Alligator mississippiensis: one gene and its partners. The protein of the gene in region 2 interacts with the protein of the main gene of each other region in a pairwise test. Links are inferred from orthologs where the notes say so. Each region holds a gene or a part of one and is shown on either strand. Other genes may lie near its edges. The genes, in order: KCTD9, SYT6, DVL3 and ZBTB43.

Region 1 (6,986 bases), on a different chromosome or scaffold from region 2:
ATGTTCCCAATTTAAATGAATTAGGGATTGGGAATAGGAGACCTAAATAAAGTGATAAGGATGACTGGAAGTCCTGCCTTGGGCTCTATGTTTTCCCTCACAAATAATTTCTGTACTTCTATTTGTCATGTCTACAATATGGGAAGAATTACTTTCCTACCTCTCCAGAACGCGTTGCTATTTACGATTTGTGCAACGCTCTGATCATGTGAATTGTTATACTTGCCAAGATTTTTGGAAATCCAGGGTATAGTTACACAAATGAAATACTTGTTGTTGCTCAAGTTCTTTTAATTTTGATTTGTTTTTGCTAAATTACTCTGCATATTCTGAAGCCAGCCATCACAAAAAAACCCAACACAATTATTGAGGTAGCCCTCACCAATAAGCACACCAACTGCATCCAGCATACATTTTATGATTTTGGCAGACATACTACATTTAAAAAACCTTGAGGAAACCACAATGATCCAATTTTCTCCCTATTTCAAGTATTTACACAGGTGGTGCTATTGTTAACAAATCCTAGCAACAGCATCAAATAGTGGAAAAGGAATCAAGAACCTTAGAGGCATTTGACTATTACAACTATTATAGCTGAAGGGTTTTTTTCATTGTCCACCCCACTGCCCCAGCACACTCTCCAAGGCAAGGAGCAATTCTATTGCAAGCAGAACAGCCTTAATTTCAAGCCATTGAATTATCTACGGTTTAATCACCATACTGACAAATTTTACTAGACACAGTGAGGGGAAAAGGGACAGAAAACTGTCCAAAGTTTGGGAAGGTCTATGATACATTTCATAGTCTCTGGACCCAGACCATAAAAAGCCACCCTAATAATAACATGATAGAGGACAAGTACAGTATTTAAGGGTGAGGATAGGAAGTAAATCATTAATGCAGTGTAAAAACACAGGACTTGGAAGTCCTGTGCCCAAGTCCAGTCCCCTATGTTTACAAGCAACCATTTGTTTAAAAGGTTTCAGTGGAGAGGCAAAAAAATGAATGACCTGCATTAGACTTTTTCATTCATATGTTAAAAATAAGGAGATGTAAAGACTGCTGCTGAAAGAATGAGTATTGGATGCATGGCACTATATATAGAAGCCCTTCTTGTTGTAATATCCCCTTATCAGCCAGTTTATCCAAGGCTAGTAGGGTTCCATGGGAAAGCAAAACATTTCATTCATTTTTCCCACCGAACCAGGGCTACTGTGAGCTGGAAGGTGAGTAAGGGTTTCCAGTGCATGACAAGCCAAAAATCAGCCCCAGTGTAAATGAGCTGTTGAAGCTGAATGACTTGCTTCTTTACAGCAGGATTCGATTTGCTTCATTGACAACAGCAGTGAAAGAATAACTAGTCCTGGCAAATGTATTATGTAGCAACTGTTTTACAGTGAAACACTACTTATTTGCTTAGTTTCAGGCCTTTTTAAAAATCCTTTCTATTTCTACAATTAAAGACTAAAATGATGCTCATGTTCATTACAGAAATCAAGCAATACGGGTCCAAGGAGGACAGCAAAGAGGGATCACATTCAGTTAAGATACCTATTGGTTAATAGGTATGCAGTGACTGAGCCATTCTCCCCGTGTTCAATTTCAGACTCATGTTCAATATAGCCTTAGATGGCTATTTGGTGCAAAAATACCCACAAACAGTCTGTAGACTTCAACTGACACGTATGCCACGGTTGCCTAGATTGAGCAGGACCTGTATTTAGTGAGTGTGACGGTGACTAACTTCACTGAAATGCAACTCGGGCAAGAAGTTTTTAGCACCATTTTTTGAAGTCTTTTCTCCCTCTCACCTGCATACATCCTCTCAAGTTAAAAGGTCAGCATATAACATTACGTACGCTGCTGACTCATGTGCTCTATCCTACTCCCACTAATGCCAGTGAAAGTTACAGACTTACAGGGTAGCAAAAATACACTGTAATAAAGATGACCAGTAAAGGGTGGGATGGGATCTCCTCAAATCTTTTATCAGTCTATGTGTGCTTGATTAAAACTACTGAATCCTTCATCCAGACAACAAACATACAGATGGGCGTTAGTGCAAGCTTGTCCAAGTCTGTCCTGCCCCTGCGTTTTAAATGAAAGCGTAGGTCCGTCTCAATCCATATGACAAAACCCAGGGAATACACAGTGCAGAGTGGTGCCCATTACACAAGAGATACCAGAAGAGACAGAAATGCTAATATTTCCTTAGTGAGACGCACCCAACTTTCAGCAAGCAAGCCACTCTAGTAAGAAGGAAAAAGAGTAACTTTTTTTTAAATGATTGCATTAAAATATAAAGATTTGCACTTCCTTTCTATTCAGAAGAAAAGCGGGAGTGTCATGGAGACAGGAAACAAGAAAAGCAAGGGCCTGGGTTGTCGGGGCAGACTGAAAGCGCCTTCCCGCTCTCTGCTGTGAGAGACATGGGTACAGGATCCGGACACGGACACTTCGCTGTTTTTTTGTCATGAAGTTTAATGGCTGGGTGAGGGTCGCAACAGCTGTACCAGGGGAGACATCTGACCACAGATGTGATAGATTAGGACCAGCCCCGCCCCCAGGCCGAGTAAAGGCCACTTTTTCTCTTTTCAGGGCGCACCGAAGCTCCTGCCACGCAGCCCAGCAGTGTGTGCAAGGCCCTGGCGCCCGCTCCCTGCCTTCCCGCTCCTGCCACCGGTAACCTGCCCAGCTGCTCCGGACCGGTGCGGCCCGCGGCTCCGTGCAGTGGTAGGAGCCCGCAGGCCGCGGGTGTGGGTGTGCCCGCTCCATGCACTCTGCCACCGGGCGTCCCCCGCCCGACCCCGCCGCGCCCTCGAACTTCACCCCCGCCCCGCTCCGCCCGCGCCCGCCCGCCGCGATTCGCAGCACGTCTGTGCGCTCCGCCCCCACCTTCCCGTTCCTGGGGCTGCCATTGACGAACAGGGTCACCCTCCGCATGCTCCCGACGCCGTCGCCGCTCCTCACCCGGAAGTTGGGCTCTGTGACTGGCAGCGCCGGGAAGGCATCCAAGCCCTAGCTTCCCGGCCGCGTTGTCCAATAGGAACTAGGGAAGGGCGGGACCATTGTTGCTAGGACCAGGGTTTCGCTCCACGGCGGGGGCGAGGTGTCGATGTGAACCAATCAGAGCGGCTGGAAGGGGAGCCGTTGGAGAACGTCCCTCGGTGCTGGCCAATCGGCAAGAGAGGAAAGCGGGCTATTTACATAAAGGCGGGACTCCAGCGAGACCTGGACCTTCTGATTGGGGGGGAGCTATCACGTGGGTGCTCCCCTGGGTTTCACACGCCCTAGTTTCAAAAATTCGCGCTTCCTCCGCGCTGCTGGGACTCTTCGCGGGCGAGAGTCCTGCGGCCCCGGTGTGAGCCCCGCTGTCCCGTGAGGGGCCGCCTGGCTTCTCCGTGTGGCTTCTCCGCTTCTGGGCTGCGGCGGTGGGCCGGCGGGCGGGCGTGGTGTTGTGGGGGGGCGGGCGCGGCGCGGAAGGACACGCGGTGCTGTGGCAGTTTGAACGCGGGCGGCGGGAGCAGAGCAGCGTTTCTGGCGGCGAAGGGGGCGGCGCGAGGACGGGGTGAGCGCGGGGCGCTGCGGGGGGGCCTCCCGCCCTGGGGCCGGGCCGGGCGACCCCTTTCCTGCGTGGGCCGTGGCCCCGGCCCGAGCCTCTGTCCCGGCGTTGCGGGAATTGGAGCGGTGGGGTCGGGGCGATGGCGGAACCGGGTGCGCGCACCGTAGGCCCGGGGCGGCCGCTCTTGGCCCTGCACGCTTGTCACCGAGCCCATCCGTGAGGTCACTCTGCCGCCACATCCCACCTTTCCCTGCCCACACGCCGGTTGCTTTCACGCTGAGTCTATGGCTTCCCGCCAGAAGCGAGCGGCAGTGATGCGGGCGCGTTGCTTGGTGTTGGCTCGGGTGCGCGGCATGGGCAGCTCTTCTGATCCCTTCTGGAGCCAGGGGGCAGAAAGGCAGTGGATGCATGGGCCGTCATCCCTCGCGGGTTGGGAGTCCTACGCACAAACTCACTCTCCTAAAATGCTACGGAAGTTTTTAGAAATAAACACAAAAAAAGACCCCCACTAATTACCCAAGGGGAAACATGCCTCCAGATGCCCATATTGGAGTTTTCTTTTGGGGTCAGCCATATTGGTCTGGGGCTATATGATACACAGGGGGGTCACCCCCTCCTGTGCTCCACTTGGCTTGAAAAAGGATACTGTGTTACCCAAAAGCTTGCTAGAAACCAGCCCACCTCCAAGGTGGTCTAATAAAAGATAACAGCTGGAACCAAAAGACTATCCTGATACCTGCAGGCAGACAAGATTCCTTAGGTAAATTTGGTATCTTATCAGACCAACTTAAATACTGGATACACTTGTTGCAGGGCTGTTGGTTGTAGCCATGTTGGTCGAAGGACATAGGCAAGGTTCTTTGGGTAAATGTGATATCTTTTATTAGACCAGCTAAATGGGAGGGAAAAGGTCTTGGCAAGCTTTTGGGCACAAACCAGGCATTGGGAGACTGCTGCTGCTGCTGCTATTAGTGTTGCTAAGTCTCCCAAGGAAAAAGAAGCAGGACTGCCTTTAACATCAAGCCCGACCCATTTCAAAGAGAGGGGAGTGGGGGTGCTTGTATAAATTCCATATTTTTTCAGTAGTTCTAGTTTTGCTGCATATAATATTAAGTTACACATTTAGCAGCACTGGCAAGCAGCAGCAGTGCCAACCTCTTCCTGGAGGGGAGGTTGTGATAGTGTATCCCCCCCCCCCTCCAGTTCCTTCCTAGCACCACCCCTGGTAGGGTATGTAGGCAGCAGATCGCGGCTCTGGATCACGCTAACACTGCTTCAAGGAGCCGGGGCAGAGCCATGATCCGCTGCCTGCACACCCTTGCTTGGGGCATGCAGGCTGCAGATCATGGCTCTGCCTCGCTTCCAGACCATGGTGTCACTGCCACAAGATCCCAGCCCAGCTGCAGAGCAGCTCCGGGCCCTGCCGCATGCCCTGCCAGGGCTGTTGGGGCTGGTCTCCATGGAAACCCTGGCCACATGCTATCTAAGTGTGGCTGTTGCTGGGGTCTGCATGGAAAGTGGCCCCAGCCACACTGGCAGGAGCTACTGGGAAACACTGGCTGGATCCACCACTTTACCCACTCCTGAACTATAACTAACCAAAATAAGTGACCTCCAAATAAAACACACCCAAAAAAACCGCAAACCAACTCAAAAAATTTAAAGCAACTTTAAAAAAAAAAAAAAAGCTGAATTCTGCTTATTATACACTGGCAACCTTGGCTGTTATATTTGTTCTCCAAGGTTGAAAAGAAGCTAAATGATAAGTCTGTGAAAATGCAAATAAATGGAAGTTTGGAAGACAACAGGTAGAGATAGGAGGGGGGAAGCAAGGGAAATGTGTGCAGGAATGCAAGTGGTCAGCTAGAGGCAGGTTACCTGAGGTATCAGATGTCAGGCAGGTACCCAGCTGTTTGTAGGTGAGAGTACAGGAAGTGTTATGTCAGACAAAGCCAGTGGTGCATCTTATCTGTACTCTGGAAATTGCTGGTACCAAATGCCTGAAAGGAAAATTAAATACATATGTAATTGGTCCAAGAAAAGCTATCACCCTAAGAAATCCTAGCCTTTGGAAAGAATAATGGAACATCTGGAATTAATACAGGTTGCAATGAGTGCAGCAGCAGTGCTGCTGGTTGAGAATAAGTGGATCTTGGGTCACTGGGAGCCTTCTGTAAAAGCAAGCCACTAATTCTGGTGGCAAAATGTGTACATGAGTCAGTTCTTAGTATCTACGTGCTGAAAATTTTGTTTCCAGTTATGTTTCAGTTTTTAATAGAATGTGAAAGTTACATGTCCTATATCAAAATAAACGTGTATTATATTAAGGGTAGATCATTGCACTAAATTAGGCTTCAGCACTCCACTGTGATATGTATTTAGTTTTATATAATTTATTTTTAACCAAGGAAACTAAGTGCAAAATATGTTGGTTGTGGTCTTAAATTCGCAAAAGTAAGGTCCCAGAGTAATGACACTCCCATCACAGAGCTGTGATTGCTCTAGTAAAATATTAAAATTACTGCCATGTGACATTTATGCAAATTACGTTGTACAGAGTACAAGGGGTAAGATTTAAGATTGGTTCCAAAGAACATAGCCTGTAATAATCCTGATTTATGACTTGGAAATTTCTGCCATCATGTCGTATGGGCATGGATTTTTTTGTTATAACGATACACAAATTTTGTAGTACTACATGCATATAATATAGTTAATGCTGCATTTTTCCTTCAACAGGAAGGCCAGCCACGTTTTTTAATAAAATCTTGCAACATCTGCCTGTATTAGCAGTTCAGAATCATCTATTACAAAAACCATTGCTATTACCAGTGGTTCCTTTCTTACTGGTAAGGAGCCATGATTGTAAGAAGACAAGGCTGATTCTATTTTTCTGGACGCTTGCAACACAGCAGTGACAATGCGTAGATCATTTAGCCAAATGTTAAATGCTGTCTGGGAAGACAAAGAAAATATAAGCGAACTTAATGAAGAAGATGGAGAGGCCTGTTCCATGGCTGTTTCAAATCAAGAGAAGATTGGTACAGTGGATGTATCAAAAGCCACAAAACTTTCTGAAATGCAAAATGTAAGCACCAAGAGTCAGAAGAAGTTTGTGCAGAAAGCCAGTATGATAAGTGACACATATGTACTAAGAGAATCAGACCAGAGGAGCAACAATAATAGCTATCAACTTATTGGAAATCTTTCTGATTCACTAAAAGGAAATCAGTCTGTTGAACCCACCATTCCCTGCATGACACTGAGCAAATGGGATAGTCCTTCAAAAAGTGGACCTACCTCTGTGGGTAATGCAAACTATCTGACACTTACCGAAGTAAATACTATTTCTGGACCATCAGAAAAACGAACGCAAAAACCTGTTGATTTTGCGACTGTAACAGTAGCTGACTTCAACATT
Region 2 (7,455 bases):
CTGCGCTGGGAACGGGGAAGGCTGTCCCAAGGCTGCACCTCGTCTGGGCATTTCCTCACCCCGCCCCTACGGAGCTGGCTGGCAGCCTCCCTCCAGCTCACGGCCCTGCCACAGGGAACACCCCAGGGCCTTGGAAGCGGCTTCCACAGGGCATTAGCAATGAGTCATTAGTGTGACTCAGTCCAAAGCCAAGTGATCCTAATTCTGCAGGAGAGCCGGTTCCCTTCAGACTGCAAAGGCCATTCATTTCCTGAGGGCCCTGGGGTCTGGTTTTCATACTTCAGAAAGACAACCAGCTGTGGACCTGGCAGCCAGGACTAAATGTGAGAGCCAGAGTCCAGCCTGGCCACGGGAGGCCAAGTGGGTCAGCCTGGAAGAGGCCTCTGCAGCCCTGGCTCCTGGGGCGAATGCACTGACCTGGCAGCTCCCTCCTCCGTCCTGCGCTCTGCACTGATCCTGGCCCCGTTACTGCAGAAAGATGCAGCCCCTGAGCACGGCGGGGTCCTGCCTGCTGCTTGTTTTTGATTGCTGCAGAGACGTTACACAAAGAGAAGATGTAGATGTTGCCTGGATGCAGGGACCTAGAGGGGTTTGAGTGCGAGAGGGTTCCCGTGGGGTCGTGGTGCCGAGGGCACCGGCTGCAGCGAGCAAGAAGCTCCAGAGATGGATGCAGTCCCCGGCCTGCATCTCCCGGCTGACTCAGTCCCTGCGGGGCAGAGCCTGCCGGGTGCTGGGCAAGCCCTGGGACACGTAAGGTTGGCACCTCTCAGGATCAGACCCTGCACTTGTTCAACGCAGCTGCTACAGCATCGTGTGACGCGCCCAGATTGCACAGCCAGCTGCAGTCACATAATGGGAAATCAATAGACAGTTCTTGTCCGCTCCGCGTGCACCTGTCCATCCAGGCCACAGCCTGCCTGCAGCAGGGGCGCACAGACCACCGCAGCCTGCACGGGCGCCCTGCTCTGACCGCGGTGCGCACTGCCAGTGTGCCCACACTGGAGCCCCGGGAGGGCCCGGCCTCTGCCCTCTTGCAGGTCCTGACTGGCACTGCCAGCCAGCCGTCGGGACAATCAGCATTTCGCAGGGTGGCTACACGACCTGCTGCAGCGAGTGCACCGACGCATGGCACTGGTGGTGGGCAACAGAGCTGCTCTCTGGACTGTGACAGACGCACGACTAACGCAGGACTGGTTCCTGCCGCTCCTTCGGGGCAGCCACCCCTGGGGAGAAGCCAGGTTTGCTGCGTAGCAGTGCACAGCCTCACCGCACAGCGGCGTGGGACTGGCAGGCAAAACATGCCCAGATGGAGCAGCCGGGGACCAGAGACCAGCAAGGCGAAAACACACGCACTGCCAGCTGCACAGGGATCGGGCCTCTGCTCCTGGCATTGCCCCGGGCCAGGCTTCAGGTAAGCAGCTCACCTGCCTGCACCTGCCTCCCTGCCCTGCCAGCACCAGCCGCCTCCCCGACCAAACCCCTCAGTTGTCCTGGGCAGAGCCTGGGCCAGCAGCAGCCTGCCCCCTCCACAACACTGCCCAGACGCCGAGACAAGGCCACAGGCGCACAGCCTCCTTCCCTGCCAGGGGGAGCGGTGCATACCCCTAACGGCGCGGGAGGGGACGGGACGGGACCGAAGAGCCTCTGCTGCGATGCCTGGGAGCCCCGCTCACACCCAGCCCCAGGCTCCGTCACAACAGATCGCTGCGCGCGACCCCCACGCGCTGCCAGCTCCTCCGCGCCGCACGCTGCGCGCCAGTGCTGTACCCACGCTGCCTGGCCGTCGGCAGGGCCAGGACAAGGGGGCAGCTTCTGTCTAACGGCAGCTTTCCCCAGCAAACGCTGCTCTCTGATGGCTCCTGACACGAGTCCCAAATCCCCCTCCCGACAGAGCCAGAGACACGCAGAGGTGTGCAGAAGCACCCAGGAGTCTGGCCGGGGAAGCATTTGTTTCCCGTCTGTCCACAAGAGATACCGACCGTGTTCAAGCACTTAGTAATCTGTGTAACATCTACCCCAGATCAAGCCCAGGGGAGGAAAGGCTCAACAGACCTGGGGGGAGAGCGGGTCGCCGTTAGCTCTGTGACAACAGGGAGCCCCTCCGAAGTCCTGTGGCAGCTGCTGCCTCCACACTCCCACGAACGCACGAGGCTGCGCCTGGGGCTTGGTCCGACTCGCAGTTCACCTAGGGCTGCCCGCCTGGGCCCCGCGGCGCTGTGCTGGGGAGATGGCGTCCAGGGTGTCCAGACGGGCGCGAGCGCGCAGGGCATGGCCCCAGCACCGTGTCCCCAGAGGCCCGTCTCCTCTCCTGGGGCCAGCACCAGGCAGCGCAGAGGGGCTTGATGAACACACCTGCCTGCTCCTGCTCCTGCTCCTGGGAGTGGTGTGCCCCCAGCTCGCAGCAGCTCCTGGCCGGCTTAGTCCTTCAGCCATGAAGCGCAATATCCCTTCTAAGCTTTTCATCCTCTCTAAAGTAACTCGGGATTGTCTCACTATCCCTCTAAACGCCTTATCTGCGGTAATCGGCCCGCGCCCGGGCTGGCCACGTCCTGCAGCCGGGAGCTCCGCGGACGCGTCTCAGCACCCGGCCCGGCCCGGCCCGGCCCGGCCCAGGGCAGCTCGCGGGCGGCTGCAGCAGCGCGGCACCGGCCGCAGCTTGCCGGCCGGCCCTCGGGGGCTGCGCGCCCGGCCCGGCGCAGCACGGCCAGCACCCGCCTCCCGCGTGGCAGTGCCGGTGCCGGTGCCGGTGCCGGTGCCGGCGGCGGGCAGGGCAGGGCAGGGCAGGGCGAGGCGGGGGCCGCGCAGTCTCGCGCCCCGGAGCCGGCTGGGGCGGCGGGCGGCGGGCGGCCGTACCTGGCTGCGCGAGGCTGAGGCTCCGGTCGGCGGGCAGGCGCAGCACGTCGCGGCACGTGTCCCCGTCGAGGCCGGGCAGGCTCCGCGCGCGGCACAGCTCGGCCAGGAGCCGCAGCGCCCGCGGGCACCGCCCGTCCGCGCCCGCCGCGCTCATCGCCCGCGCCGCATCCCGCCGCCCGCCCGCGATCCGGCCCTATGTAGAGCCGGGACCGCCCGCCCCGCCCCGCCCCTCCCCGCCCCGCGCCCCCGGGGCCCAGGGGCGGTCACACGGGCGGGCACGCAGCTGCCCCGCTCCTGCCCGCCGGCCTGGGAAGGCGCCGGCTCCGGCTCCGGCTGCGGGCGGCGCGGGGGTGCGGGCGCGGGGCTGCCCCGGGCCTCGCTGAGCGCGGCGCCTCCCCAAAGCCCGGCCTCCATGACAGCAGGGCGGCATCCCCGACCCCGGCGGCCTGCCCGGGGACCTGACACGTGCGCGCCCCCGCGCCCGCCCCGCCGGAGGCTGCCAGGGCCGGGCAGCGGCACGAGCAGGGCCCGGGCCCTGGACTGCTGCCCGGCGGCCGGGGCCCGCCGCTGCCTGCCCGCCGCAGGAAGGAGCAGCCCGGTGCCCGCAGGCCGGCGCTGCCCGAGCCGTGCGCGGGTCTCCCCCACGCGGTTCCGTGCCACACGAGCCGTGCTCGGGGCAGGCGGCGGAGCGCCCAGGCTGGCAGCGGACGGCCGCCGCCCCGGCGCGCTCCCCCCGCGGGCACACGCTGCCGGGGAGCCTGGCACAGCACCTGGCTGCAGGCTCTCGGCCGGCCCTGGCCCTGGGGCGGGGAGGGGCCGGAGCTGCCCTCGCCCTCCTGGCACCCTGGACGCTTGGCCCCGGTGTCTGGCCCCAGGAGCAGCGCCGGGCCCGGAAGACAGTCCGAGCACCCGGCGCAGCTCAGGAAACAGAAACAGGCAGAGCTCGTGCCAGCGGAGATCAGTGGCGACATTTAGTGTCTGGAAATGGGAAAGTTGCTCTAATTTCATCAGCGCTGACATCCAGTCGTCAGCGTCAAACCTAGAGTCACCCGGGTTAATTATTGACCTTCATTTCCAGAGCAGAGCCCGGCAGGCCAGCAGGAGCAGGCCACTGGGCTATTACAGCGCTTACTTGCAAGAAATCGTTGCTTCAGCTGCAGAGATGGACTGATTTGGCTCCAGTGGCTCTTTAATTAACAGCATGTGTGATGTGACATAACAGGGAGGGGAACAGCCTGCCGGGAGCTTGGGGACAGCGGGGACACCAAACACTCATGGGATGGGGCCAAAGCATGGCTAAAACGCCCCGCGCTGCGGCTGCACAGAGACCGCCGGGGCCCAGGAACAGCAGCGCACAAGCCACCCCGAGCCGTGGGCTCACGGGCATCGCGACGCCTCTAGCAGCCCGGGCCCAGCCTAACACGTTGAAGAGATCTGGTGCCAGGTTCCCGAGCTTAAGGAACCAGCCGGGGCAACGTGTCCGTGGCTTTCACGTGTGATCCAGCTGGTTCCCTCCGCAGCTTGTGACCGCACGTGTCCCTGTCACAGCAGAGCTCTTCAGGCAGCCCCGCGTTTGCTTGGCTTCAGAGTCGGTGCCGTTGGAGGCCCAGTGCCTGAAGCCAAGCAGCCTGCAGAGGGGAGAGCTGTATTTGTTCAGGCCAGCTGGGCCGAGAGGGCTAGTGCCTCCATGCTTTCAATTAATAGGATCATTGGACACAGCTCCAAAGGATCCAGGCTGCTTCGGGAGCAAGGCTGCTCTGATCCTGGCCCTTGGGCAGCACTGCTCTGCCATCTGCGCCAGGCCCCTCGGACACCGCCTTTGTGCGCCGGTGGGCCAAGGCCGCGCCGTCTGCCACGGGCCGTCGGTGCACGGCGGGGACAGGCCTTGGGCAGGGGGTGGAAGGAGGCCCGAGCCTGCCCCAGCTCTGCCCAGCCCAGCCTGCGGGCACAGCCCGGCTGTGGCAAGGTGCCCAGAGCCCAGCCTGGCCGTGGCTCCGTCACCAGGGCCCGGGGCACGCAGGGCTGGGGCTCGCAGGCCATGGGCACCGTGGGCAGGCGGGCAGCAGCCGGGGACAGCCCTGGCCACTCCCCGCGCCGGGCTCCACCAGGCTCCGCGCTGCAGGACCCAGCCCGGGGGCCGAGCTCCCTCCTCGCCGGCCAGGGCAGGGCAGCTGGGCCCGGCCAGGTCCGCGCAGCCCAGGGGCAGCGGGCGAAGCACGGGGCGGGCTGTGCAGAGCCCCTGCATGCAGACGGGCCCGTAGCCGGAGCCACCCGCACCACCTGGCAGCTCCGCCCCGGCTCGGCCGCAGTCCTGCCTGGGCGGGCCGAGCAGAGGCTGTTGCTGGTCCTGAAGCCAGGCTTGGCCGGAGCAGCGCCGGGCTAACGACCTGCTGATGCACTCTGCCGAGAGCAGGCCGGGCGCTGTCAGCCAGCCCTGGATGAGGAACCGCTCCCTAATTCAATGCCCGTGTGTTCAGAGTTAAATACAAAGGAGGCTTCCTGGCAGGGAGGCACCCGGGACCGCCCTGGCGCTTTGCACAAGCACCCAGGGCCTGCAGCGCAGGGTGCCTCGCTCCAGGGACGCCTCCACGCAGCACCCACCGCCGGCCTCGCGCTTATGGGGAGCAGGGGTGCAGAGAGATCAAGGCACTTGGGCGGAGGGAAGCACTGGCAGAGCCAAGCTCAGCTCCCGCCAGCCCCTGCCTCCAGCCTCCCACTCCCGCGGCCTGGAGCGGGGAGAGGTGAGAAGGGGCGGGGGGCCCAGGGCCAGTCATTGTCTCTGGCTCAGCACACGGTGTGAGTTAATGGACCCGCGCCCGAGAGAAGGCAACGCTTCGCAGCTCCTGGGGGCCGCAGATCCCAGCACAGGCCCCATCCAGGCTCTTGACCTGTGCCTTTGGTGCCATCTCCACGATACGGCTCCAACAAGCCTCACTGTAAAAGTGCCTCTGAGCGCAGGCCGGGGTGGAAGTGCTGGGTAGGAGCAGGGCCAAGAGACTCCGCAGGTCTTTTATAGCCCCCGGGGGAAAAGCTGGCAAGAAAACCCGTCACGTCACCCTGGAGCGCGCCTAGTTCTTGCTGCAGGACAGGTGGGTACGGGCGTCTGCGCGGCAAGAGCCACGCAGGCAGAGCTGTGCCTGCACCCAGGACGCCGGGGGGGCGGGGGCTGCTGGGGTTTCTTCTCAATGAAGCAGCACACCTCACATCTGCTGAGATTCCCGTTACGTGGCTCCGCTCATCTGCAAGCACGCTGCCACGCGAAGCAGCGCCTACCCAGACGGGATGAGTACAGCCCCCCGCTTGGCGCCGGTGTCAGTAGTTAGGGCACTGCTGCTCCCCGCCGTTTATTTTACAAGAAGCATTGTTAATTAGGTGTGAGCAGCTGTTGATTCACTCCCTGTGTCTGTTATGCTACGGCGCAGCTGCGACTGGTGCCTGAATGGCTCTGGTGCTCCCGGGTAATAAATCACCAGCGCCGTTGTCACCGCACAGAAGGGCCTCACGCCCATGTCCTGCTTCCCCCCTTGCACGTCAGCTGCCCCTTCAGCTCCCTGGGCTGCACGGGCTCCGGCACGGAGGCTCGGCAATGGCTCAGCCCAAGCCCAGCCGCGTGGCAGCTTCAGAGCACCTGCCGCCAAAGGGAGACACTGTCCAAGCGTGCAGACGGCGCGCTTCACCAAGGAGTGAGTGCACGTGTCCGTGCCCTGCGACGGGGGCTGGGCCCAGCCTGGTCAAGGAGCCCGCAGCTCTCCACTGCCGCACGGCCAGCTGTCGGGCCAGTGCCCGCCAGCCTCCCCTCGGGCTCTGCGCTGGGCACCCCAGCCACAGGCCCTGCACAGCCCGGGAGGAGTTGGCAGAAGCCCCCCTGCCACAGCACGATACCCGCCGCGGGAGCCACTGATGCCTCACGCTGCCAGTGCCGACCGCAGCCCCCTGCATGCCCTGGGCTCTCCAGAGCAGCAACTGCGCACACTCCCCTATGCGCCCCAGCGAGCCCCTTGGTCCTCCCCTGGGGCTTCCTGACAGACACCAGCCATGCCCAGCAGCTTCATCAGGAGCCCACAGGCCAGGCGGGGGCACGAGGAGCAGCGACAAAGCCTGGCCATAGCAGCCCTGAGGCCAACACGCCCACCCCAGGCACCCGCCTGCGGGGTGCAGCGAGTCGCACGGCACTTGGCGCAGGGCCGTGGCCAGGGCAAGGCTCTCACTGCGAGGGGCGGTGACAGGGGCAGGGGCAGGGGCAGGAGAGGGGGTGCATTGCACCTGCTACCAGCAAAGCCTCTCGTGGCACTCGGCCATGGCCTGAGCAGGGCCGCTAGCACGGACACAGCAGCACGCCCTGCTTGCTGGCCGCCTCCGCTGCGCTGGCCCCGGCTGGTCACCGCCTCGTGCTGATGGTAGGTCACAGACGTCTCCTAACAGGAGGCCTCCAGAAAACCCTCTCTGGCAGGAGAAACACCACGAATCTGGGTCCATGAAGGCAGTTTTCCTTAAGCGCTTCCGGGGATAACTGCTCTTCTGGCGTGGTTTAGTACCCGCGGAGGTGTAGGGGTTAAAGCCCAGTTTATGGAAACGGGAGACTCCTCCCTCGCTTGCTTCTGT
Region 3 (7,267 bases), on a different chromosome or scaffold from region 2:
TTCTCCCTTGGGTACCTTTCAAGGATGCGGCAGGGTGCCATACCACGTTAGCACGGTTAGGTTTATAAACATGATTCACAAGATAAACCCAGCGATTTCAAATTGAAACCCGCAGTTGTGGGCTGTCTCTGTTCTTTGCAACATAAAAACTGCTTTATTATTTTTCTTTAGGCAAAAAAAAAGATTGAAAATGAAGAGCTGGAATTTCCAGAGGGTGCCTCGAGTCTGCAAAGGCTGAAAACCACCCGTCTAAGGACTTCAGGGAATAGATGGGAGAAAATAAGTACTTGAAGTCCCATTTTATAGAAGAGGAATTGAGAAATTAAGTGGTCAAGAAAGGGAGTCACCTGGGAGAGGTATAGCAGAGCTGGGAATGGGACCCAGGCCGCATGAGCCCCAGCCTAGTGCTTTCACCCCAAGACCATCCTCCCCCTGACCGGCAGGAGCACTGGGGACACCCGAGAGCAGTGTCATTCAACTCCTGAAGACGCAGACAAAGTCTGCAAACCAGATCGCTGGGCTCACACCCACTCCACCACGACTTGCTGCCATTGCCCCACAGTTTGGTAACAGGCAGGGAACAATCACGTTTACGCCACGCTGATGGGCTCAAGAAACACATCGTCTCCTCTCTATTTAAACCTCCCCTCCCCACAGTTTATCAGGCAATTGTTTTCTTGGGTTTCTTTTCTACAAGAGACACCACTTTGGGGTCCACGGGTCAAGGCTGAGCACCCTTCCCTTTGACTAGCGTTAGCTTCCTGAGCAGCCTCGCACCCCACACTCAACAAAGCCTTGGCGCATATTTCTAAGGAAACGTAAAGCCTGAAGCAGCATCGCTGTTACCCTGATTCTCGCAGCCAACAAATACGGACGAGAGAAACAGCAAGGAAAGCCCACGGGCTGCGATGGCGGCCGCGCTGCCTCCCTGGGCATGGGAAGAGCTGACGGGAGCTCCCAAAGGAACACCAGACCAGTTGTCCAGCCTGGAGAAAAGTGAGAAAGGCAAGATAATTAATCAGACCCAGGCCGAGGACTGGGGAAGAAAGGCCAGGGCTCTATTATAGCAGATAAAAGCTGCCTCTGGGAGAAGGTAAAACGCCTCCATCCCGAGCGATGGATCTGCAGAGAACTCAGCCTCGTCCCACACGAGGTTTGGGGGAGCTTTGCTCTCAAATCAGTGGCCAAAGTTTCTACTTTCTCTCCGGGCAGCTGCCACGGGACCTCCAGGTGGACGAAACGTTGCAGCTGCTCAAAGGGGTCCTCGACGCAAACACCTTTCGAGACGTTTTCCCACGTTCTCCCTCCACGCGGTGCTGGGGAAGGGGGCACTTCGGGGAAAGCAGCAGACTGCCCGGCAAGAACCGAAGCGCTGCAACCGCATGCAGATACACCGTGACTCCCGCAGCGACTCTTAATGTCGCTGCGAGATCTCCGCAAAACGTTATGATCCTGCCTCCCCATCTAGGTTGGGGAAGGAAGACCCCTTCAGTTCTAGCTCTCCATAGTCCAACGCAAGACTGGTCCCCAATGGTTTCTGGTTTTGCTTTTCACCGCTAGCCACCAAACCTCCTCAAGCAAGAGGGTTCCCACCCCCTCCCTGGAAACGATCCCACAGGTGCATGGGTCTGGCGGTCTCCTTCTGCCCCGCTTGTTCCCCTGTCGCTTCTCTGAATGAGTAGGTCTTCTGTTCTGCACAGCTCGTTTCCAAAATGCACCCCTCCAGGTGGAGCTTCCCCTCCCGGCTCCAGACCACCATGGCTTTCCTCCATGCCTGCGATACCTGGACAAAACCACACTGCCCGCTTTAGTCCACCCAGATCACACCGCAGACGTCATCTGATGCGCCGCTCACTGCCTTGGTGCCCCTCATCCGTGCCTGCTCCTTGACTCTCTCCCTCTCTGGGAGGACCAGGGGTTAAGGTTATTTTCCCCAGATGCATTATCTGCGTTTGCCCATGCCGGATCCGATTTCATTGTTTTCTGCCCGTTCCTAATCTTGCCGAGTCTCCGTCTCGTTTCCCTGCCCTCCCTGGTTTCTGCAGCTCCTTCCAGTTTTGCTTCACCTGCAAATTTCATTCATCTGCCATATGCCTCCTTTTCTAGACCATCCGTGAAGCTATTATTTTTTTTTTTAATTTAATTTGTATCACCGGCCAAATCAGCCCAGGCTAATTCCAAACGCGAGACGTGTCCCTGCTACCGGCAAACATCCTCCGCCCGCACCCGGGGCTTCACACGTTCCCAAATCCTCTGGCGGGCGTCCTACGCGCAGGCCCAAGCCCGCAGGCGCGGGGTTCGATGCTCGCCCGCAGCCGCGCGGCCCCGGGGACGAGACTCCCGCGCCCGTAACCCCTGCAGCCCGGCGGCTACCGAGCCACGCGGGCCGGGTCGGGGACGCAGACGCACACGCACGGTATTTCCCCTGCCGCGTTACGAAGCCACGGCGCGTGTCCCGAGCTGCTGAAGGAGAGCAGGACCTCCACCCGCCTGCCCCTTCCCCACACCCGCTGTCTACCGCTGCCCTCGCTTTAGGGGGGGCTTCACGGCGACCCCACAGGACGGGCCGCGGCCAGCCCCGCGCGCGGGGGTCGTGCCACCGTGGCGGAGCGCGGCCCCTCGGGGATTGGGGCCGCCGAGATGCCACCGAGCGAGACCCCGCCAGCGAAGTGAGGCGGCTTCTCGGGGTCCTGGATGCGCAGCGCCCGCAGGCCCGGCCCCGCCGGGACAGGCCGCAGCCCCGGGCTTTGTTCGCGGGCCGCTCGGGCTCACCCGAAATCGTCGTCCATGGACTTGAAGTAGAACTTGTAGTTGGGCCGGTTCAGCAGCCCCTTGAAGTCGCCCAGCGTGACGCGCTCGGCCGGGATCGGCAGCTTCACCAGGTAGGGCGTCTCCTGCTCGTCCAGGTGGTAGATGATCTTCGTCTCGGCCGCCGCCATGGCGCCCCCGGCCCGGCCCGGCCCGGCTCGGGCTCCGGCCCCGGCTCCCGGCGCCGCGCAAGCTCCGGCCGCGGCTCCGCCTCCCCCGCCTCCTCCGCGGGGCGGGACCAGCACGAGCGGCCGCGCCGGCCCTCGCTCCCACCCGCGCCCGCCGGGCCTGCAGCGCCGCCCCCAGCCCCGCGCCGGACTCGCTTTGTTCCCCGCCGCCGCCGGCCGCCGCCCCGCCCCGCCCCGCCGCCACGCGGCGACAAGGGCCTCCACCCACCCGCCATCCTCCCACGCGACGCGACGCGACCCCACGATCCGCCACCTCCCGCGCAACACGAAGGGCACCCGCCACCCGCCCGGCGCCACCATCCTCCACCGCCGCGACACCACACCACACCACGGTCCGCCACCTCCCGCACAGCACGGAGGTCCCCACCCGCAGCACGACAACAATCCCCCACTGCCAACACCACACGACAATCCCCCACTTCCAACACAACGCGACCATCGCCCACTGCCAACACAACGCGAAGATCCCCCACATCCGACACAACACGAAGATGCCCGCCGTGGACGTGAAGAGCGCGGCATGCATCATCCTCGCCGAAGCCCGTGTTGCCCGTGACCCTCAAGCTGGACACGGTTTGCGAATGTGCACCGACTCCCGCAACGAGCGCTAACAGCCTGAGATGTCGGGGCGGCCGGAGGAAACGCCACAAGGACACGCTGAAGAGGGACCTCAAGAAAACATGCCGACATCAAGACCCGGGAGGAGCTGGCTGCTGAGGGACTCCCATGGCGCGGCAACCTCAACCGAGCGGCTGCCCGTGTCGAGGTAAAGCGTCCTGCCCTTGAAGCAGAGAAAAAAGCAGAAGGGAAAGGAGAGAAATTGTGGCCTACAGCCTACTGTCTCCAACAGAAAAGCCAGCGGCTCCTGTAGACAGGTCTGCCACTCAATGACTGAACTCAAGTTGCCTCAAGACCCACCAGCGAACCACGGCGGTGAGCATCCTTGAATCGAGGGGTTGCTGACAAGTAGGAGACGTTTTCATCCCACGGCTGATCTTCCGTGTGCACAGCACAGGCGGGGAAACTTCACTGCCCCGTTGGAAGCCTTTATTGCTAGCTAGAGAGCAAGTCTTTCATTGTCCCAGGCTTGCACGGTGCCTTCCAGCAGGGCCTGGGCAGTTGGGTGCAAGGCAGGCAATGTGACAGCCACAGGCTTTTGGCTCGCCTCCATCACCCCAGTGCAGAAGCTTGCATTTCCTTGGAGATCTCAAAACAACAGCGGTCTCCCTGTGCCTGAAGAAGGGTGTTGGTACCCAAAAGCTTGCAAAGAACAGGCAGAGGGAGACTGCAGGTCTGAGATGTCCAAGGAGTGAAAGAAGCTAAAAGTGTGACGGGATGTCAGTACGGGATTGTAATTCCCACCTATTTGCAATCTCGTACTGACATCCTGTTACGCTTTTAGCTACTTTCACTCCTTGGAGATCTCAGACCAGCAGAGCCCCCCGTGCCTGAAGAAGGGTGTTTGTGCCTGAAAGTTTGCAAAGAACTTCTTTCCAACAAAAGATATCACATCCACTCAATGAACCTTGCCTGCCTGCGTCCTTAGACCAACACGACTACAACCGAAAACCCTGAAAGTTGCATCCTTAACCAAGATGCAACGGCAGTGGCTTTTGAGTGCTTAAATACAGAGCCAATACAGAGAGAGACTCCGCTGCCCGCAAGTCTTGCAAAGTCACCGAGATAGGAGCCAACGAAACCGGCAGGAAAGGATTAGGCGAAGCAGCCCCATGCAACCGGACAGTGGTTCTCACTCTTTTTAGACCCCCGACACCCCTCAGAAAATGCCAGTTTTTAGTTTTCACTTTTTTTTTTGACTGTGGAAAAACAGAAGTGCAGTTTTTCTGTTGCTAAGAACTCAGAACGGACACACGAGGCCAGCGTGGTGTCAACATTATGAATTCCTATCTGAAATCTCTGCATTCATCCTGTGAAGGCAGGGCAGGGATGCACCTTACACACTAAACAGGAGATGCATAAGCTTGTGCGAGTCTGAGCTGACTCACGAAAGCTTATGCAACTCCGGTTTAGTCAGTCTATGAAGTGCATCTCTATCCTGCCTTTTGCCTGACTTCAGACCACCACGGTTTGCTACCTCTATTTTGTGAATCATGTCTGCACACCAACGCTAATATCGCACGGCACGCCACCTTCCAAGGATCTCAAGGTACCCCGGTGCTGCAACACCCCGCTGGAGAATCGCTGCTGTAGCTTTGTACCTGCATTAAGAAATGTTGCAGCACCACCGAGCACGACCGCTTCTGCCGTTACACTCAGCTATAGGCTAGGTTCAGGCATTTCAGATCATTTGAGCCCAGTTGACTTCCTTCCCCTTGGGCAGGGGGGTTGGACCCCACAGTCTCGCAAGGTCCCTTCCAGCCCTGATATGTACAAAATCTATGAAATGTTTAGCACAGCACAAAAACCTGCTCAGCCCAGTCCCAGATGCAGTGAGGTGAATAGGCTTAGGCTCCAGCACTTAATTCTTTAAACGAAGCAGGGATGTCCGTCTAAAACATACGTTGTCTTTCAAGCAGAAATCATGGGCCTGATACAGGACCCAGCAGGTCAGTTCTGATCTGTTGTAGATGGGCTGTCAGACTAGATGACTGCACTGGCCTCTTTTGGCCTTAAAAAAACCCTCAGGGATCCACCACTCACATTGGTCTTAAAAAAACCCCAGCACGTTTCACTGCAGTGTCAAGGCTTCTTCCTCCAAAGCACTGTTTGCATCCATCCGACTCACTTCCGAATCAGCCATACAGATCATTGGGCCTGTCCCGCTCTTCAATGCTGTCATCAACTCTCCATACGCACACAGAGAGAGGTGTCTATAGATGCACACACGTATGTCTATATACATCTAGACACACACATGTTTATGTGCCATTGAGCCATTTTAACACACCACAGCTCTGGCTTGGAGGGTGTCAAATATGCTACTTGGTCTCTGTTCTGAGCAACGTAGCCAGAGATTGCCACGGTGGGAGGGGGGGGACCCCATGCAGAAGAGACTCTGGGGGGAAGGACAAAGCTTCCTCACGTAGCGACATTCTTAGCCCTTTGAACCTCTACCTTAGGTATGTGCCTGCAACCCTCGGGTCAGATGGTGGCTCACAACACGGAGATCTTGGCCACTTGAGAGCAGAGACCTCAGGCTGTGGAATGCAGAACACACAGAAAGCAGAATTGTTTGTTTCTTGGCACAAAGACTCCAGAGGCTCTGGCCAAAACAAGCCAGTTACGGAATTACAGACGAAACCTTCTTTTTAACCTTCTTTACCCTGTAAAAAAAAAATTAAAAAATACTCAAGATGTCCAGGGAGATTTTCAAACTCCTGAATCGCGCAGCTGGCTGGTAAACACTTTTGAAAAAGGGGTTTGTTACCCACCTCTTCCCCAGCAGGGTATGGCGTACGACATACTTTAATGCGCAGTATGGCAGGGAGGATCATGCTTCGGCCAGGATTAAAGCACATCCTTTTAACTTGTTCTGAATAAACAGGAGCCTCACCCACTGCAGGAATCTAAAGTGCCGGAGTTTCAACTGGGTGAGCTCGTTTGCAATTCCTAATGGTAACACTGCTGGATAGGATTGAACACCTACCCCATGCCACCGGCGTGCTCATTTTATGCCTGTTATAAGCACAACTTTGGATCGTTTTGAAAAATAAAGTGGCAACTGTTGATCCTCCGGGATTCACAGTGTATGCATGAGGGCCACCCAGGTCTTCGATGCATATGCTTGGGCAGGAATTTTTTTTGGAAGAGTGGAGGTTGCCCAGACCTTCCATCCTCCCTTCAGGCCACTGAGACAAAATCCAAAGACCAGATGTTTGGTGCCTCCATGACTGTAGTTGCATGAGCATCTAGGAATTGAACCCAGGTCTCCTGTGCGGTAGACAAGGATTCTACCACTGAACCACAGGGGACTCCTGAGAAATAAGGTAGCTATGGGTTATTATGGAGAAGTCTATAGCCAGCAAGATCAGAGCAGAACTCACAGGTAATGCCACGCTCAGAGACACATACTCAAACAGCTGATTCTTTATACCAGGATGGTTTTAATCGCTCCCTGAATTAAATATTGGCAGATACAGAAAGTTCAGATACCGACTATTTTCCCGACGTTTACAAGACTGCGTTCCAGTGTCAGAAACCAAGGGCCTTCAGGCACAGTCTAGATATGCTGAGCGCTCAAAGATCACCCCTTCCCAGTGCTCGTGTGTAAGAGGCAGCATTCCCACCCTCCACCAGCGCCTTGCCACAAA
Region 4 (7,714 bases), on a different chromosome or scaffold from region 2:
TGAAAATTAATACAAGGTTTACAAAGGGTAGTTTCTCATGCAACCCCAGATACATCGCTTAAACCTGCCATTAAGGGATGGCTTTATAGCTTAAAAAAAAAAATCAGTCTGGCACTGTGTGACCATGGTCAGATGTACCATTTCACAGGTGGACCATTTCACAGGTGGAAACCCTAATACCCTATTTCACAGGCTATTGTCAGGCTTAATAAATGTTTTATTAAAGACAGTTTAATAAGATTTAAGATGCTAGGTAAAAGTCATTTTTAGTGGAAATTCTTAGGCCTAAAGTGGCCTAATAAGGCACCACTTTAATACATCAGACTAGTATCTGCCTTCTGGTTAAGCAATTTGCCAACTGCACTCACAAAAATCCAAAAGAGACCAGTCCCCTATGAACTGCTTGATCCAATAGAGAACGCCAGAGTAAGATGTCCATTTGTACAGTGTGTGATATTTTCAAAATGCAGTCCTATAAATATCTGGAATCTCTATATTAAGAATTAAAAAGCAACATCATTACATTTCCTCCTTTGCAGAAAATGACTGATCAATTTTAGCCCATCATGATGGAAAATTATGCTCAATTTGCATTCTAGCCAATCTGAAGTATGAGCCAATCAAAGTGCTGAGTGGCTGACTTCCTGAATTACCACCATATATATTAATAGACAGTATCACATTTTAAAAGATCCCTTATTAGAAGGGAGGTTATTTCTGAAGCCCTCCCATGAAGTCAAACTGGCTTACACATTTCTAAAGACAGCCCTACTATGAATTAGGAACCAGGCAATTAGAATGACAGCACCTTTAACCCCAGCTAGTTTCATTCACCTTCTTTCAGCCTTGCTCACTTTTTACAAACTGTTCCTCCTTTACATGAACACAACAACCCATTTCAGAAAGAGCCTCCCTTTCTTTAGGCCTTTTCTCAGACAGCACCATCCCAGGTAAAAGAAACCCAGCCCCACTGCAAGAATTTCAGCTTGCAAATACAGCACACTCCCTCTAAGCACACAGCTTTGGTACGAAAAAGGTTGTGCACTTACCCTGAGCATGCACTTAAAGCAAACAAACCTCACTGAGTACACAGCATTTGCAGCACTTGAGACTTAACCAGCGTTGCTAATAGCACTGTAGTATTAGCAGAAAAACTGACTAGCATTTGTCCTCTTTAAAGCTTCTAATAAGCAGCTTAGCGGATGCTACTAGAAAACTCAGAAATGAAGGGAGAGCGGTCCTGAAGCTGACTAGGAACCAGGGAACCGACTACCTCCCTTCATCTGCAAGGCTTCCAAGAGCAGCCTCTGTGACGGCTCCTTTCTCTCCACTGTATCAGGTGTAGTTGAAATGAGAACAATTACAGTCATATTCAGCATGCACTACCTTGAATATAATTAAGTTAAAGCAGACGGTAGAGCTGAAATATGCTGCCTACTTGACCAACATACACAACTGATATCTGTTTATGGTTCTTGTCACATACAACAATAAGCAAAACATTAGGACTGGCATTGCTACACAGCTAAACAAATTAAGTACTTACATCAATGATTCTCAACCTTTTTAGACTCAAGACACCCCTGGAGACACTCCTCCAGAACTTGTGTGAATTGAGTGGCACCCTGTTTTAAAATACGCCTTTATTACAGTGCTTACTTTCTTGCAAAGGGGCCTGGCAGGGGCAGGCCTGAACCTGCACTTATTCCCTCGCACCTGCTTATCTCAGCACAACTCAAAGCACCCTTCAAAAGATCTCGCATCACCCTGGTTGAGAATCACCGACTCGCAGCGTACGCTAAGTACGTATGTATGCACGCAAGCTATGCAGCCTACGACAGCTGGTCCCGCAAAGCGAGCTGCATGGATGCAGAAACAGTGCAGTCACGTGTAAATTATTCTTGGCATTGCTGAATCATGCAACAAGAACACACAAGGGCAGCTCGTCACTAATACTATAATGGACAATTATGTTAATGCGCAAGCTCAATGCGTAAGTCATGACGTTTTTGTATCTCTTCTTACACTAGGAGGAAGTTGTTAATTCTTCGCCAAACATTCCCATATTTTGGAATAACTTCCCATGCAACCATTTGCTGGCAATCACTTTTTTTTCCTTTCTAGTAGTGCTACGCTAATTGCAGTTAAGTGCACTGAAATAACATTTGGCTTGAACTACCACCTCTCCACAGCGTACAACTGAAACTCGAGGAGACACCACGCTAAATCCACATATTTCCTGTGGCATAATATTTCTAGGCAGGATTACTGGTTTCTTTTATGTGGGCAACTGACATGAAAGACAAGCGCTTTACACGAGCGGGGCAGCGAGCCCCGCACGTGCTGTCCAAGCCCTTCTTCACCTGCGTTACCAGAAGCCCAGATGTGGAAGGGGAGATGACCTGTGAACCGTGGCTGGACGCGCGCTGCTCGCGGGCTGTTCTGTCGGCATGTTCCCGGCGGGTCGGGCGCAGCGGGCGACGCCGTCCTTCCGATGCATGCGCGGCTCCCTTCACGGCCTCTGCCAACCACATCCAAAGACAAAAGCCATTCGCTTGCCAGACGCGGGTGGCGCGAGGGCAGCTTCAAGCCAGCGTTTCCCCCCCCCCCCCGCTCCCGCTGCCCGCCGGCTTGGCCGCGCTGCCGGACACGGGCACCCCGGCACGGCCACCTCCCGCCCGGACATGGCACCCGCCTGAGGGAGGCCCGGGCGAGGCGGGCCCGCGGCGGCTTCAGGCTCCCGGCTCGGGCTGGGCGACGCAGGGCCCGGCCCGGGGGAAGAGGCCAAGGCCCAGCCCGCTAACCGCCGCACTGTCCCCGGCGCTCCCCGCCGCCACGGGCCTCGGCCTCAGCCACGGCAAGCCGCGGTCCGGCGCTCACCTGCGCGGGTCTCACATCGCGGGCGCGGGGTCCGCAGACGCTTCCGCTCCCGCCGCCACTCGCCGACCCCGTCCGGCAGCACCAAGCTCTTCCGCTTCCGGGTCACGTGGCATCAGCGCTCCGCTTCCGGGCGCAGGGCGCAGGCGCGGACCCGGCCTGCCTGACGTTACGGGGGGCGGGGCGGGACGGGGCGGAGTCGAGCCGAGCCGAGCGCGTGCTCCGCGAACGCTCGAAGGCGGCGGGGCGGGGCGGGGCGGGGCGGGGCGGGGCGCCCGCGGGGGAGGGGCGGGGCTGCGGGACCAACCGTCTCCTCGCCCCTCAGGCGAGCCCCGCACCTGCGCGGGATCAGGCGCGGGGCGCAAGGGGCTGCGGTACCCGCGTGGAGCGAGCGCCGTGCGGCAGCGCCTTCTTAAAAGCTGCTTTAAAAGTGGCTCCATGGAGCAGATCCCGCTGGGTGCGTGTTCGCTTCTGCAGCAGTAGGGTGAATAATCCGGCCTCCCTCGCCTCAGGAAAGGCATTTGTTTCCGTATTGCTTGTACGGTCCTGAGCGCACGGGCTCGTTGTGGGTGCGGTGGAGGGGGAGGTGTGCGGGCTCCGCCGCTCCCAGGAGCAGCAGGCCTCTCCTGACCTGGCGGCTGTCCCTAGAGCCTCGTGAAGGGAGCGAGGTCGTCGTGTGTCAAAGCCTAGTCCCCGCCGTCCTGACCGTGTGCGCCGCTGGCCCGGAGAAGGCCTTGCCGGCCAGGCTTGCTGGCAGTGGCTGTCCCCTCCAGGCTGCGGCGCTGCCGGGGAGCCGTCCGTCGCAGAAAGAAATCCTCCTGGGGGCAATTGTGGAATAACTTGGTTGCAAAGAAAGTTTCCTCCTTCTACCGCCCCTGTCGTGGTTTGCTAACGCCTTGAAGCAGGGAGGTGTCGACCCGTTTGGGCTGTGTTTTAATACTTGCCTATTATAACTATTAAACTGTTTTCTGTAGACTTTCAAGCACGTTAAGGAGGAAATAGCTTCACAAATGTCTCTTCCCTGCACTATTAAATAAAAGGTGGTTACATTTTTCAGACCGGTTGCTGAAACGGAGACTCTCCGCTGATTTCCTGACAGCCGAGAGCCATTCCCTTTGGTCTCTGCTCCGGAAGTAGAGTCCAAGGTGAACGCGCAGTCCAGAAACACCCTGCTAATAAGACCGCGTTATAGGTTTCCGAACCAGTGAGTGGTGGCATATTCGGTGGGGTCTCATTTACATATTGGCGAGGGAGAAATGCTTGTTTGGCCAGACCTTAATTGCTCGTTATACATGAAACATCTTGAAAAATTTCAGGCTTCATCCTACTTTCATTAAACTGTTTCATTTTTCTTTGTCAGCATGTGATTTGGAGCAGGTTTATCGTTTTAGGATTCTTTTTAGATCTAGAAAGACCAACCCAGCAGAGTTAAGGAAACAGACGGTTAACAGGCTGGTCCGAAGGCACTGGTCTGTGTCTCTGCGGGCCATGGGAAGGGAGCAGGTGAAACTGCGCAGTGGGCACCAGCTGTGTCTGTCTTGGAGCCGTGGAGATGCAGTTGTCCTGCTCATTCAGGATTGCCTGGTGGACTCTACCAGGTGTCCCTTACTCTCTCTCAAGACCAGGGCTGCTATTCACTTCAGCTGCCTTTTCAGTGAAAGGAGGCATGAAGAAGAGAAAAGCACATGTATGTCAGGAGGTGGGGTACAAGAAAAGTGTAGGAGTTGAGACAAAGCAGGAAGAGTAATGATTTGTTTTATGTTTCTTAGCTTGGCAAATATCTCCTGGGCATGATGTGTCAGCAGTTCTGCAAGTCAGTTTGCCAGCCTTGGAGGAATGGGGGATGTGTGTGTGTCGCTTGTTTGCTGGGGCCCTTAGAAACCAGTACTACATTGCTGGGTTCTCCCAAGCCGGCATCTTTGTGGTCAGTCATAGCCTTTGTAAGAAGAGATTATTGCCTGTGCATTAGTGAGAGTGGGAAATCAAGGTTGGAGCTAATAGTTTCTGACTGTAGTAAGTTGTCATTTGGGCACTACACAGGAAAAAGGATGGAGCTAGTGAAAATCCTGTTATACCTCTGGCCAATCTACCAGTAACTTTTGTCAAGGAGTGCCCTTGTTAAGTCTTAGTGGGTGATAGAGAGCTGCTACTTGTGCTGCTATTATAAATAACAGGATAGAGGAGGACAAAATTCTCAGATGCATGCTGGACAGAAAAGATCTAATTTAAACTTTTAATTTGGCTATAGCTGGGCAGATTTTTTGACGGCAGTTTAAATGCATAGATGCAGTTTCACATATAGTCTTTCATAACACTAAGCATCTGGGGGCCTGGTGGAAGAGGCTTCTTTGGCAGTGTCATATAAAATAAGGGCTTGGTGATGGGAGAAGTAAAGTGGCCAGAGTAACTGCTATCCCTCAACAATACTGATCATTTTGTCTGAGAGAACCTAGCTAAGAGATGTTCAAACTATGTGGTCTGAAGAGAAAGGTGGATCTAACAGAGAAGACAGCAGTTAATTTCTACCAGCTGTTATCATTGTGGACTGAAATTTAAATGGTATTTTAACCCCCCCCCCCCAATATATATATCACATGATTTCTCATAGTACACACCGTTTTAACTATTTAAAACCATTTGGGTTCTGAAGAAAATTCCCTGTGATGAAGGGATCAGGAGGCTCTGGTCCTGTAGTTAATTTCTCTACATTTATGATTCAAAAACTGAATTTAATACAAAATTAAACACAGAAAAGTTTGGAGATAGTGAGCAGCTTATTGACATTGAACCAACTTTTATATTAAGCAACATGTTTAATAGCCAAGACAGTTATCAAAATTGCTTCACCTTAACTCTTAGTTTTTCAGTTCCAGCTTCATTTGGGAGTTATGGTTTTCCTTTGCAGTAGTTCACTGGGAAATTTCCTATGTTTTCCCTACTTTTATTTCTCTGAAACTGCCAGCAGTGTTGTATGCAATGTCAACAAAGAGACACTAGAGAGCAATAGTAGATGCTGGCTTGGGAATTAACTGTGCTGTCTCAACAGTATTGCACAGGTCTGCTTGCTTGGTGATGAAGAGAGTGAGTAAAGGGCATGTGCCTAGACCTACTACGTGACAATGAAACGTTGCCTTGAGACTACTGGTTTGGTTGTATGGCAAGCACATACAAGAACTTCCACAAAATACGATGGGATTCCACAGGAACAATTTATAGGCTGAAAATAGATCAAAGACTTACTTTGAACTGTCCAAACAAGCCTGTGGCATTTATGATGGTGTTTTCATGCTGGCACATTAAGCTAGTTCATAACTGTTAGTTTAGTTAGATTGTATCTTGACTGTAGAGGACTGACTATTCCAATAAGGAATTAAACCTTCAAAACAAAAAGTCATTAATTTATTTTCAGACACTGTCTTAAATGAGAGAGGTTGCTGTTTGGTTAGCTTTCTGAGAGACTTTAACCTAATCTTTCTTGCCTTTTAGACTACATAAAACAAGTCCTATGAATAGAGACTAGTTTCTTGCTACAGTGTACTTGGGAATGCAGCCCTAAAATAGTTTGCTGCTGCTTTACCTGTGTAAAGCCCCTGATTTAAACAAGATGAGGGCCATTGCTGTTGGTGAAAGGTAAGTTGGGAGGGTTTTAATGATGTTTGATACAAATAAAATATCACATTCATTTAGACTTTACACTTTCTAAATGCAATGCATCTCTGTAAGTTAAAGAGTTACCAGTCTTGGAGAATTTGTAGAGGAGGTGCACCACGAACAATGGCTGAATAATTTTCCAACATTGCATTGTCAAGATGCTCTGACCCCTTGGAGGTGAGAAGAGATTCTGGTTTCAACTACACTTTCAGTCCTTGGCTTCATTCCTTCAAGGATACTAAATAGTGGCTATCAGAATAGTGGATTTATTTTTATGGCAAATCGAGATCTCTATCATGGTAAACTCCTAACTGGCAGACTGGGCTTCAGCTAGTAACCTACAGGTAGAAAGATTGAAAATTTAGGTTTGTTGACCTCTTTGTTAAAGCAATTTTACAGGTTTTATTTCCAGAAGCTTTTAATGGGGTTGTCCAGAGAGAAAGAGACCTTTTGTGCTTGCTCGCTGTTTGTATTTAATCACATGTTTTGGCATTTTGAGGAAATCACTGATTTGGGGGCAGATACAAAATTTTAATACTGTACAGAAGCTTTTGGGTCCCCCTTGCCCCCAGCCCAAAAGATCCCATGTTTCTAACTGTACCTCATTTTAAGTGTATAGCACTGACGTGGTACCAGTGACGCTGCAGATGTTTTCTGTGCTAGGAGAAGAAAGACCTCTCTAGTCAACTGCACACTGCAAGAAAAGCTTGAGTTAATGGTTGGCATTTCAGCAGATCTAGGCAGTTGTCAAACTGGTTCTTTTGGACCAAGAGGGAAAACATTCTAAAGGCAAGGGCCCCTTCCTGAGTGTGCCACGCTTGAAACTAAGCTGAAGCCATATGAAATACTTAACAACATTGTCTGAAGGTCTCAGGGTGAAATGGGCACCGAGGTTACTTTGACTGGGAGGTCAGGGAAGGTGTTGATACAACTGAAATAGTTGTCTGTCTTTTGTAAAACAGTAGATGGTGCTGAAAGCTAGGGCAACTTCTTTCCTAACCTAGTCCATGCTCTGTCACTAATAGGGTCTCATAACTTCACCACAACTATCTACTACAGCTCCTGGTCATTTTAGGAAGTCTGTTATTTAATGAATAAGTAATAATTGTATAACAACCAGAAAACATCTATGTGCATTTTAGTGAAAAAGCAATTTATTTTAATTTTATCTTTATTTTGTTATCTA

What was found.
Region 1: the proteins of SYT6 (region 2) and KCTD9 interact in binary tests that used the Homo sapiens proteins (3 or more experiments, as listed by UniProt). The two-hybrid records come from large-scale screens. The link is inferred for Alligator mississippiensis from reciprocal best matches to the Homo sapiens genes SYT6 and KCTD9.
Region 3: the proteins of SYT6 (region 2) and DVL3 interact in binary tests that used the Homo sapiens proteins (3 or more experiments, as listed by UniProt). The two-hybrid records come from large-scale screens. The link is inferred for Alligator mississippiensis from reciprocal best matches to the Homo sapiens genes SYT6 and DVL3.
Region 4: the proteins of SYT6 (region 2) and ZBTB43 interact in binary tests that used the Homo sapiens proteins (3 or more experiments, as listed by UniProt). The two-hybrid records come from large-scale screens. The link is inferred for Alligator mississippiensis from reciprocal best matches to the Homo sapiens genes SYT6 and ZBTB43.

Annotation. Positions count from the first base shown.
Region 1 is NC_081830.1:23,111,458-23,118,443, forward strand, and holds the start of KCTD9 (BTB/POZ domain-containing protein KCTD9), read right to left. Parts: upstream 3,004-6,986; 5' UTR 2,947-3,003; coding exon 2,899-2,946; intron 1-2,898. Other genes in the region: CDCA2 (cell division cycle-associated protein 2), read left to right, coding at 6,486-6,986. UniProt on the Homo sapiens protein: Substrate-specific adapter of a BCR (BTB-CUL3-RBX1) E3 ubiquitin-protein ligase complex, which mediates the ubiquitination of target proteins, leading to their degradation by the proteasome.
Region 2 is NC_081837.1:45,532,149-45,539,603, forward strand, and holds the start of SYT6 (synaptotagmin-6), read right to left. Parts: upstream 3,008-7,455; coding exon 2,854-3,007; intron 1-2,853.
Region 3 is NC_081830.1:83,882,421-83,889,687, forward strand, and holds the start of DVL3 (segment polarity protein dishevelled homolog DVL-3), read right to left. Parts: upstream 3,011-7,267; 5' UTR 2,940-3,010; coding exon 2,773-2,939; intron 1-2,772. UniProt on the Homo sapiens protein: Involved in the signal transduction pathway mediated by multiple Wnt genes.
Region 4 is NC_081835.1:67,433,168-67,440,881, reverse strand, and holds the start of ZBTB43 (zinc finger and BTB domain-containing protein 43), read right to left. Parts: upstream 3,005-7,714; 5' UTR 2,881-3,004; intron 2,522-2,880; 5' UTR 2,501-2,521; coding exon 2,403-2,500; exon of another isoform or gene 2,364-2,402; intron 1-2,363. UniProt on the Homo sapiens protein: May be involved in transcriptional regulation.